Neurospora crassa OR74A: one gene and its partners. The protein of the gene in region 2 interacts with the protein of the main gene of each other region in a pairwise test. Links are inferred from orthologs where the notes say so. Each region holds a gene or a part of one and is shown on either strand. Other genes may lie near its edges. The genes, in order: NCU02640, NCU03066 and NCU01257.

What was found.
Region 1: the proteins of NCU03066 (region 2) and NCU02640 interact in binary tests that used the Saccharomyces cerevisiae proteins (3 or more experiments, as listed by UniProt). The link is inferred for Neurospora crassa OR74A from reciprocal best matches to the Saccharomyces cerevisiae genes NUG1 and CGR1.
Region 3: the proteins of NCU03066 (region 2) and NCU01257 interact in binary tests that used the Saccharomyces cerevisiae proteins (3 or more experiments, as listed by UniProt). The link is inferred for Neurospora crassa OR74A from reciprocal best matches to the Saccharomyces cerevisiae genes NUG1 and EBP2.

What each region holds. Positions count from the first base shown.
Region 1 is NC_026501.1:3,022,645-3,025,764, forward strand, and holds NCU02640 (hypothetical protein), read left to right. Parts: upstream 1-1,640; 5' UTR 1,641-1,674; coding exon 1,675-1,759; intron 1,760-1,827; coding exon 1,828-1,973; intron 1,974-2,035; coding exon 2,036-2,176; 3' UTR 2,177-2,611; downstream 2,612-3,120. Other genes in the region: arg-1 (argininosuccinate synthase), read right to left, coding at 1-425, 485-801, 870-896, 961-974, 1,054-1,067, 1,173-1,201; NCU02641 (hypothetical protein), read left to right, coding at 2,960-3,120. UniProt on the Saccharomyces cerevisiae protein: Involved in nucleolar integrity and required for processing of the pre-rRNA for the 60S ribosome subunit.
Region 2 is NC_026501.1:4,413,903-4,417,563, forward strand, and holds NCU03066 (GTP-binding protein), read right to left. Parts: upstream 2,823-3,661; 5' UTR 2,718-2,822; coding exon 2,690-2,717; intron 2,619-2,689; coding exon 994-2,618; 3' UTR 653-993; downstream 1-652. Other genes in the region: NCU03065 (mitotic control protein dis3), read left to right, coding at 1-477. UniProt on the Saccharomyces cerevisiae protein: GTPase required for 60S ribosomal subunit export to the cytoplasm.
Region 3 is NC_026505.1:3,393,353-3,397,104, forward strand, and holds NCU01257 (hypothetical protein), read right to left. Parts: upstream 2,246-3,752; 5' UTR 2,190-2,245; coding exon 1,235-2,189; intron 1,108-1,234; coding exon 752-1,107; 3' UTR 468-751; downstream 1-467. UniProt on the Saccharomyces cerevisiae protein: Required for the processing of the 27S pre-rRNA. Probably involved in the step of the processing of the 27 SA precursor into the 27 SB intermediate.

The DNA of each region.
Region 1 (3,120 bases), about 1.4 Mb from region 2:
TGAGACCGATGAAGCGGTTCTCAACGATATCGACACGGCCAACACCGTGGTCGTGACCAATCTTGTTGAGGAGCTTGAAGAGCTCAACAGAGCCAGTGGTCTCCTTGCCATCGACAATGACCTTGACGGGGATACCCTTCTCAAAGACGATGGTGAACTCCTGGGGAGTGTTGGGGGCGTCCTGGGGGTCAACAGTGCGGGTCCAGAGCTCCTTGGGGGGAGTGTGGTTGGGGTCCTCAAGAATGCCAGCCTCGTAGCTGCAGTGGACAAGGTTGTCATCCATGGACCAAGGGGCCTTGGGGGTCGAGGAGACGGGGATGTTCTTGTCGGCGGCGTACTTCAGGAGATCCTGACGACCCTGGAAGCGAGCACAGAACTCGGGAAGTCTCCAGGGAGCAATGACCTTGATCTCGGGGTTGCAGGCCCTGGTGTCACGTCAGTGTTTGTGCGTCGGATGAGGCTCAAGAGGAGGGAATCAGCATACTTGAAGGCAAGCTCGAAGCGGACCTGGTCGTTGCCCTTGCCAGTGCAGCCGTGGGAGACGAACTCGCAGTTGTATTGCTCGGCAACGCGGACCTGGGCACGGGCAATGATGGGGCGGGCGAGGGAGGTGCCGAGGAGGTAGCGGTCCTCATAGATGGCATTGCACTGGATGGCACGGAAGACGATCTGGTCAACGAACTCCTGCTGGAGGTCGAGGATCACCATCTCCTCAGCACCGAGCTTCTTGGCCTTGGCGCGGACCTCATCCCAGTTCTCCTCCTGGCCGACATTGGCGAGGAAGCAGACGACGGTGTAGCCCTGTCGAGTCACTCGGGTTAATATTACAGCTCGGGAGGGGAGCGCGGGGGTTGGTTGGTTTTCTCTACCTGCTCAATCAACCAGCAGAGGATGGTCTGCAGTCACAGATGTCAGTCAATGCGCTCTATAAGATCAGAGGGAAGCTTCAGGAGGACTCACGGAAGTATCAAGACCTGTATACGGTGATCAATTGGTGAGCAATTGCATTCGTGGCAGGCGGATCTCTTGTGTTGTATAGCTCCAGGATCGTACCTCCGGAATAGGCGCTATGAACGGGAGGGACTGTCAGTCAGGCGTCAAAGCTCCAGAATAGCCTGTGCCACAAGTGGAATCACCAGACGTTATTCAACACTGCTCTGGGTGTTACTTACAGACAGACGCGGCCCTTGGACTCAGACATTTTGGCGGATTGGTGCTTGCGGAGGATGGCTACTCTCGACAGTTACAGTTCCTGAACTTGATCTTGTAAGAAAGACAAAGGCGATATCGGGCGGCAACTCGAGGCTTTTTATTAGTGTCTCCCACAGCGTCAAACAGTCGACTGAGTCACTTTATCTTATCACTGCGGGGCAGACCCTGGGATCCAACGTCAGTCACCATCAACATGAGACCAGGCACATCGATGCCGGAAGCAAGGGTGACGAGGGTCCGCCCCGCAGTTTTAACGCCTGTTCTCCATACTACGACCCGCTCAGCGATAACGTTGCAACGACAGGCCCGATAACCAATTCTGCCGTCCAAATTTTTCTGCTCGAGTGCGACCGCATTCACTGACCGCCTTTGGTAGTTCTGCGTCTGGCATCGCCGTCACAACGCTCTGCATCAAACCCAGCTAATGCACGGATTGCTGGTCGACTTTAACGATTCGCAACAATGTCCTCTACTACCACAACAACACAAACAACGTCTCAGGTGGAGACCAAGGCGGTTTCCAAGCCCCTTGGCATGAGGGTCAATGGTAAGTCTTTGTCCGTTACGTTCTGCCATCCTAGGTCGAATGAAGTACTAATTGCCATTATCCTACAGGAAAGCAATGGCACGCCCCCAAAAAGGCCTTCCGTCCCGGCTCCGGGTTGACATCGTATGAGAAACGCGCAAAGGAGAGGCAGTTGCTTGCGGCTGTCAAGGCTAAGGAGAAGGAGCTTAAGGATGAGAAGGAGGCTGAGCGCAAGGTTGGTGCAAATACGAATCCGGGAGACAAGATGCCAGGGGCTGATCCATCATTTCCACACAGAGACGCATCGAAGCCCTCAAGGAGAAGCGGGCAAAGAAGGAGGAGAAGGAACGTTACGAGAAGATGGCCGAGAAGATGCACAAGAAGAGGGTGGAGAGGCTCAAGCGCAAGGAGAAGCGCAACAAGCTTATCAACTCTTGAACGAGGAGGCTGTGAACGGCACTCAGGACATGCGGAACACCACGTCTCACTCCTTTCCGTCCAACGATGGGTACCGAACCGAATCACCGGCCTCGCCGTTCTACCAATGCCCGAAAGACGAAAGCCAAACCCCCTTCGCAGCGCGGCGTCTTCCTCGGCAAATATGATGGTAGCGGCGTTACTTTATTTTGAATGAGTGTCTATAATGGCATGGCATAATTGGAGTTGGAAGTTCGCAGCAGCCACGGAAGGCCGTGGTTTGTCAGGAAGAACTCAGCGGACAGGGCGGATGGATGAGAAACAACCCGGAAAAACAACGCCAAAAAGAAAGGCGTACATCAATGACTAGGTACTGCGGGTGATAAGGGACCACAGCAATATTCTGATACCCCAAGCAATTCTTACACGGAACATAACAAAAAGCTTACCATTACCATTCTTGGTGGCTTTGCAGCCACTTGAAACCCATCTTCCAGGTGATTCTCTTCTCGTGACAAACTTTGGTTGTGGTTATTTTGCTTCAGTTCACATGTCCAGTGAAGCAACCCCTGCACAGGTTGGATAGGTTCCGCGAAAGGATCGTTAAGGCAGCCGGCTTCCCGTCACCGGGCAGTGAGTGCCATTGGTCCCCTGCGCCGCGTCCCCGCCGCGATGCACCTCTGTGAGTCGTCGCAACGTCAGTGGCCCCGTCGACTTTAGGTACATCCTGGCTTACACCTCCACTTTTTGCCTACCCGTAGAGGTACTCTAATCTGGCGTTATTACGCATCATTACACTTTGGTATGTCTCGGAATCACCAGATAAAGCGCGATAAAGAAAAGGAAAGCCGCTCGAGTGCCGTCATGTTTCCGAACGCCCCGAATGGAGTCGAAGGGCTCAAAGGAGGATCCCACTCTCCACATCGTCAGCGACACCAAATCACTCGCTCCATCACCGAATTGCC
Region 2 (3,661 bases):
TCGCCCATCCGCCGCTACGCCGATTTAGTTGCCCATCGGCAGCTCGCCGCCGCGATTGAGTACGAGGCCGTCCACCCGGCCGTCCGCTCCCGTGGCCGCCTTGAGGCCGTGTGCAAGAACATCAACGTGCGCCACCGCAATGCCCAGTTGGCCGGCCGTGCCAGCATTGCTTATTATGTCGGCCAGGCCCTGCGCGGCAAGGCTACGGAGGAGGACGGCTTCGTCATGAAGATCTTTAGCAATGGCTTTGTTGTGCTCGTGCCGAAGTTCGGTATCGAGAGCTTGATCCGTCTGCGTGACCTGGCGGAGCCGGAGCCGGCGGCGACGTATGATGCCGAGACGTACACGCTGACCACATCGGGAAGCAGGGAGGTTAAGGTGGAGTTGTTCCAGAAGGTCAGGGTGAGGGTGACGGATCAGAAGGATGAGACGACGGGGAAGAGGGGGGTGAAGATGGAGCTTGTTAGTACTTATTAGATTTGTTGAAGATGGATGCTTCAGTATTTGAGAAGGGGTACAGGTTAAGAATACCCTTGATGGACTTTTGTAGAGCAATACATTGTTTTTTTACTTTCGGCTATCCAAACGTTCATGAAGTCATTTTCGGAATGTCGTTGCTTTCGAATTCGATAATAGGCCATTGAAAACACAGCTCGGTATGATGAACGATGCAGGGAATGTCAGAAAGAATTTAAAGCTTCACTTCAAAAGCCTTTGTCATAGAGGTGTTTATGATCAGGCTATATTTGACCTATTTTCTACCAGCCGGCCTGCCTGTCTCCCTTTTTGCTCTTTCCCACCTTGACGCCAAAACGCCTCTTCACAAAGATGTGTCCAGCTCCGGGGTTCGTTGTATTGTGTTTCTGACATGCAAAACAACAAAATACTCATTACGACATTGACCACCGACGCAACCGAAAACAAAAAAGAAACCAAAAAGTGAAATGCTCAACAACAACTGCCAACAGACAAAGATAGGGGGAATAAATCGCTCTACTGCATCTCAACATCCGGAGTCGCCGTCTCCTCCTCATCTCCCCAAAGACCATCCAGCTTGAACTCCTTGGCCCACTCGGTCACGATCACCTTCTGATCCGCTAGGGGCTCATCAGCGGTAGCAGACTTGCCGCCAGCAGGAGCAGGAGCAGTGGCGGTACCAGCCACAGCCAAGACGGGAGCATCGATCCAGCCCTGGATACGACCGTCGCGCCAGTCGGTCACGACAGTCATGGCAGCGGCTTGGATATTGGGGATACCGCCCCTGCCCAGCCTGCCGCGCTTGCGGGCAACCTGGACAAGGAAGTCCATGGTGGGGTCGCCGTTGTTGGGGTCGCGCAGCAAGGGGGGAAGGTCGTACACCTTCATCATCTTGTCCATCAACTCGGGGGTGGCCGACAGGCGCTTGAGCAGCAGCGTCACGGCGGGGACCGGGTCCTCGATCTGCTTGGGCGGGATGGCATTAAGGAGCACCAGGTGGGCGTGCGCCTCGGTCTGGTTCTTGGGGGTGAAGGTCGAGTTGCCGGCAGTGGAAGGGAACACGATACCGGGCGAGTCGAGCAGCGTCAGCTTGCTGTCGATCTTGACCTGGCGGATCGAGGTGGTGACGCCGGCCTCGGCGCCGGCCGGGCAGGCGTTGTGCTGGCCGCGGCTGTTGCTGAGGCGGGACAGGAGGGCGTTGATGACGGACGACTTGCCGACGTTAGGGTAGCCGATTACGCCAACCTGGATGGAGCGCTTGAGGTTGCGCGAGACGGCGTACGACTTGAGCGCACGGAAGAGAGCCGCGCTGGTGCTTTGGACGGTAATGTCGCGGTGCTGGAAGGTGTGGGCGTTGGGGGCAGGGTTGGAGGCACGCAGCGGCAGCGTGGGGAAGTAGCGGCGCAGGTGGGTGAGCCAGCCGCGGAGGACCGGGGGAGGGATCAGATCGACCTTGTTGAGGATGAGGATCAGGCGCTTACCACCGTGGGCGGCGGCCATGACGGCGCGCTCGACGTCCCTCGAGCGGGTGCCTTCGGGATCACGGGCGTCGAGGACGTAAAGAATGACATCAGCCTGCTCAACAACCTGCTTGAAGACCTTGTCGAAAGCCTTGCGCGAGGAGGCGCCGCCGGGAACCTCAATAACGCCGGACTGTGTGGGTTCGCCATCGGTCTCGTCGTCGGACTCGTCGTCATCGTCCATCTCGTCGCCGCTCTGGAGCTCGCGGTCGTACTGCTCGGCAGCTTTCCTGGCGCTGGCCACCAGGGCAGCGAGGGGGTTCGACTCATCGTCAACGTCGCTACCATCCTCCTCCATAGCATCGTCGTCGTCCATCAGATCGTCATCGAACGCCTCGACATCGCCCTCGGCGCCCGTCTTGGTGTCCTGGCCAGTCTTGGCCGCCTTGGCCATCTCACGACGCTTCTGCTCCTGTTCCTTTCTCCGAATGCGGTCCTCCTCGATCTGGTTCAACAGCTTCTCCTTGTAGGGGAAAAGGTTCGGGATACCCGGGTCCTTCTTGAGCTTGGAGCGCCATTCTGGGTTCTTCTTGGCGAGCTTTCTGTCCTTGCGTTGCTTCGCGGCCGAGGCCTTCTGGATCTTGTGCCTGAGGCGTACGGGTGTACGCTTCGATTTCGGCTCTGTTTTTAAGTAACGTCAGTCAATGTGTTGATTGGAAGAATATGTTGTTCTCAGCGAAAGATTGACTGACTTTTGGGCTTTGTTATCGATCCGGCCATTTTGAAGATATGCTGCTCCTAATGTCAAAAAAGGAGGTACAGGAGGATAATTGAGGATGGGACAGCAAGGTAAAGCAGCAAAATCCGGTCGCTACTATGGGCGGCTGTACTGATTGATGGTCGTCAAAAAATTAGAGTGGAGGAACGGTTTGTGCCACTGCTGACCGCCTAGATAAGCTCTGATAAAGCAGGGATCCGCCGTGTTGAACTCCACCAAGATTCCAGAAGTCCCCGCTTCGAATGTGGAGATGCGCGTGCCTGTAATTTACAGTCGTATTGTATGTTTGATTTGTGTTTAGCCAAACGTGGAATGTAAATTATATTGATACACTTATGGTGTGGTTGCGCTTGTTCTCTATATGTATATGAAGAATTATTGCTACCGACTCTTTACGCAAGTGGTTTGCATTGCCTTTCCAGAAAGAGGACTTTAGGTCGGTCCGTCTCAACAATCAAACACTTGTCTGCCATGACGATCCTCAAATCCATCGAACCGTCCGTCAAGGTGCAGTTCTGGATGCCATCAGTTCTGTCGTCAAGCACTTGTTTATACCACACATGGACGCTGTACGCTTTTTTTGAGTTTTTGGATCATCATGGATTCAACAGAACACCGTGCCCCGCTCGCATAATTGATCGTCGCTTAAGCTGACAATGGCATTGCACTATGCAATGATTATCGGCAGAGCAGACACTCCGGACATTGGGTCATCTTGGCCTACGTAGACAAAGTCCTGAAGCAAAATAGCATGCTAGCATCGAATACGCATCAAGAAAGGGGGTTGTGGTGGGGAGGTAACATATCACCCAGAAACCACGCTTATCACGCTTCACATGAGGGAGTATCTTCAGAAACTCTTCCGTAGGTATCCCCCATTTAGCGTAGAGAAAGACGGAAGAGACCGATTGTTTCCCAAGTTATCGCACCCTTCAATCGCTGTTCT
Region 3 (3,752 bases), on a different chromosome or scaffold from region 2:
AATTGGATGAGCCGCTCTTTGTGTTGTTGTTTCTTTCTTCTATTTGCTTGTAGCTTCAGGAAAGGCGGGTCTATGTCTGGCGTTGGTGGTTATGGGTCTTCCCAGGTCTATTTGGGTCTGAATCTGGGTTTGGGTTTAGGCTCGTCTCGATGAATAGCAGCAAGCAGGCGTTACGATGGTGTTGCGCATCAAACCCCTTACCATGCGGGTTCGAGGAGTGAAAGGGGGATGTCTCGTGTATTAGTGTATCTGAAGTACCTAGTCTTAAAGTAGCGATGGCCCTTGCGCGGCTCGTCCGTGACAGGATGATACTCTCACAAACTGTAGTGACCGAGATTTGTTTTTGTTCACGAGCCGACATCGGGGGCCTTTGAATGAAGGTGAAAGTAAGGAACCCGTTTGTTCGGGTGAACGGATATAGCCATTCTGCAAGATGAATGATATGAGAAAAGGACCTTTGAGCCAAGCGGGTAACACCATCAAACTGTAAGGCATGAAAAGAACTCTTTAGGTATCTAAGTAAAGGTAGTGGCTACTGAATTGATCTGAATCCTTCAATGATGTTTGTTGTATGACCGGTCCCATGATGATGTATACTCATACACGCTACTACCACCTTTGTCACCAACCTGCCGTGCTGACCTTTTGTTGTACTAGGTTGGAAACTAAACAGATTACCCATCATGGCATCGACACCGCTCTTCACTTCCACTGCTTCTTCTCGCTCCTGCCACAGTGAAGCTTACTCACTTCACCTCTTTCCAGCCCCCGCCTTTCTCCTAGCCTTACCAGGCCTAGGCGCAGGCTTGAACTTCTTGGGCTTGCCGCCTGCTGGGCCGCCCGATTTCATCTTCCTCGCACTGAACCCGCTCACGTCGCCCGACGAGAGGGCGTCGTTGGATTTGGCGTACTTCTTCTTGCCGCCGAAGCCAAACTTGGCATCCTTCCGTTGCCTCTTGGCGTTGGGCCCGCCGCCCTCCTTGCCGTCGCGGCCGCGCTTTTTGCTGTTGTTGCCGCCAGGGCCGCCCTTGAGCTCGTTGTCGACGGCAACGTCAAAGAGGTCTTCGGCTTCGTTGGCGCCGGTGGGGCCACCGCCGTCCTTGCGCTCTATTTAAGGAGGCGGAGGTTAGTTGGCTTCAGTTATCATCAAGTTGGGGAGGGGAAGGAAGAGGAAGAGAACTTGTTATGGAATTAAGAAGGGAAGGGGAAGGAGAAGGGTAGGAGAGGCACGTACTCTTCTTGAGAAGATTGATCTTTTCGAGTGTGTCACGCTTCTGCTTGGCACGCTCCTGTTGCTTGGCCACCTGCACCTGCTTGCCGAACTTCTTGAGGTCGCGCTGCTTGCGCGCCTCGGCCGAGGCCTTCTTGGCCGTGGCCTCCTCGATAAGCTTGGCCTTGACCTTCTCCATAGTCTCGTCGCTGCGCAGCGTCTCGGCAAAGTAGTCGGTAGGGCGGGTGAAGGGGACACCCTCCTTGCGGAGGAGGGCGCGGCCGACGCGGGCGGCCTCGAGCGCCTGGTTCATGAAGGCCAGCTCGCGGGCCAGGTCGTCGTCGATCGAGGGGATGGACTCCTCCGTCACCTTCTTGGCAACGATGGACTGGTGGAAGGCGAATGGGACTTTGTCGGTTGTGTCGAGGGCGAAGCGCTTGAGCGCCGTCAGGAGACCTTGCTTGTTGTTTATTGTCTGGCGCGCCCTCGAAATGGCCTTGACTTCCTCTCCTTCTTCTCCGTCGACGTCGAGCTCATCAATGTCGATCTCATCCTCGTCCTCCTCCTCGTCGCTCGATTCCTCGGCGGCCTTCTGGTACTTGTTTGCCTGGATGCCGGCGGCGGATTGCTTCTCGTTCAGGTCGCGCTCGAATTCTGAGTCGGAATCGGATTCGTCAAGTGCATCAAGATCGAGATCGTTGTCCTCTTCGTCGTCACTACCCTCCTCAGAATCTGAACCGGCCTCTTCCTGTTGCTCTGGTTTCTCGTCGGCCTTGGTCTGAGTGGTGGTTTCTTCCGCCTTCTGCTCCTCCTCGACATCCATCTTGTCCTCTACAGGGGTTTCTTCGACGACCTGCTTGGGCTTTCTGCCACGCTTCTTCTGCTCCTTCTGGGGCTTCTCTTCAACAATCTTCTCGATCTTCTCAGCCTCAAGAGCCTTGGTGGCCGGCTTTTTTGTGCGGGTGGACTGTCGCGGCATTGTGATTATGTGGGGTTGCTGTACAATCGATTTGGATGATGAGCTCGAGAAGCGGCAGCGCTTGCAGTTCTGGAAACTTTTTTTTGACATGGCGGCTGCCATTACCCGATAAGATAAGCCTGGTGGGTCGGAGGCGGACCCAAATGTGGATGCTTGGCGCCCGGCATAGAGGTATCCACAGCCCAGCTCCTGGAAGTGCCCTTCACACTCTCTCTGAATCTGGCACATCAAACCCCAACCCTCAGGTTACGAGTTACAATGGGCCTGTAGTCACGGTGATGGTCACCCACCGAACTGCGTTTTCTCGGTGATCTCAAGATTGATTGCTAGTGTATATCACCATGCCCTGTGTATCTCTGCCCAGTTTCTCGTAAGCTACCCGCAGCCTGTGTCAAGGTGATTCAACACGAGTCTCCTGATACATCAAACTTCGCGTTCAGTGGAGGAGCCTTGTCCCGCGCAAACATCACGAACCTAACCTGGCCGAAACAGATCAGAAATATGTCTGGGACGTCGAGCTGATACATGTAATGGGATGTAGTATATTTTCTCGGAGCCGAGGCCATTCCTCCGCGTATCTTGCCTTGATGATCGATCAAGCGTTCCATTTGCAAGTTGACAGCTTTATCACTAAAGTCAGTTGCTCTGAAAAGTCTTACGAAGAGGCATACGATGATAATGAAATTCACAATCATAGAGGTAGTCACGGTCATGAGAGCATCCAAAGATATGGTGTCAACCGGGGTTTTTTTTTTATTAAAAGAACTAACACTCTTCAAATCCTTCAACCAAGCCAACTCACCCCCACAATCCCTCCCCTCCGCAAACCAAGATCAGAAAGATACAGTGAAAACTCCCCACATGGTCCTCCCCCTCCACAAATTTCATCCCGCGAGTCCCCCCTCCCTGCCAAGACAGAAAGGAAGACTTCCCTCCTCTACAGTCCTATCCAAGAAAATTCCAAGAAAGTGCGCAAAGAAAAAGGAGTGGTGAACCAAGCGCCATACCCAAGCCCGTGCAAGTCCCACCCAACAAAAGAGAGAAGCATGTCGCGAAATAGCTCCCTCCCAGCAGATGGAAGAGGTTGAGGTTGGAAGGTGTGAGTCCGCCGACTCCCAGGTGACGTTTGCCGAAGAGTGTGAACCAAAGAGAAGTTGCTGCATCGTTTCCCGCCGGCGATGTCCTCAGTCCGCAAAGGGTGTTTGGTGTCGAATCAACGACAAAAGAGAGAAAGGGTCCAGAAAGATAAGGTGAGTTGCCTGAGTGTCGAAAATTGAAGAGGGAAAGCTCCGTGTGGACGAAAAGTAGTCCCGTGTGAAGTTATCCCCAACAAAAAGAAGCGAAAGTCGTTTATGTGAAAGGATGGTGTGTGTGATGTGTGCGGATGTATATCCCCGGTTGACAAAGGTTTTTTCCATTCCCATCAAGGAAAGATCCTCACCGCTCCGGATGTTGTCAGTGGGTGCTCCCATTGTGCAGAGTCCACCATGAAGCAGAGACAAGAAGCTTCCTAGGCGAGGTTGCTGTTGTGGCGGAACGAGAGGTGGGCTTTTCAATCATGAT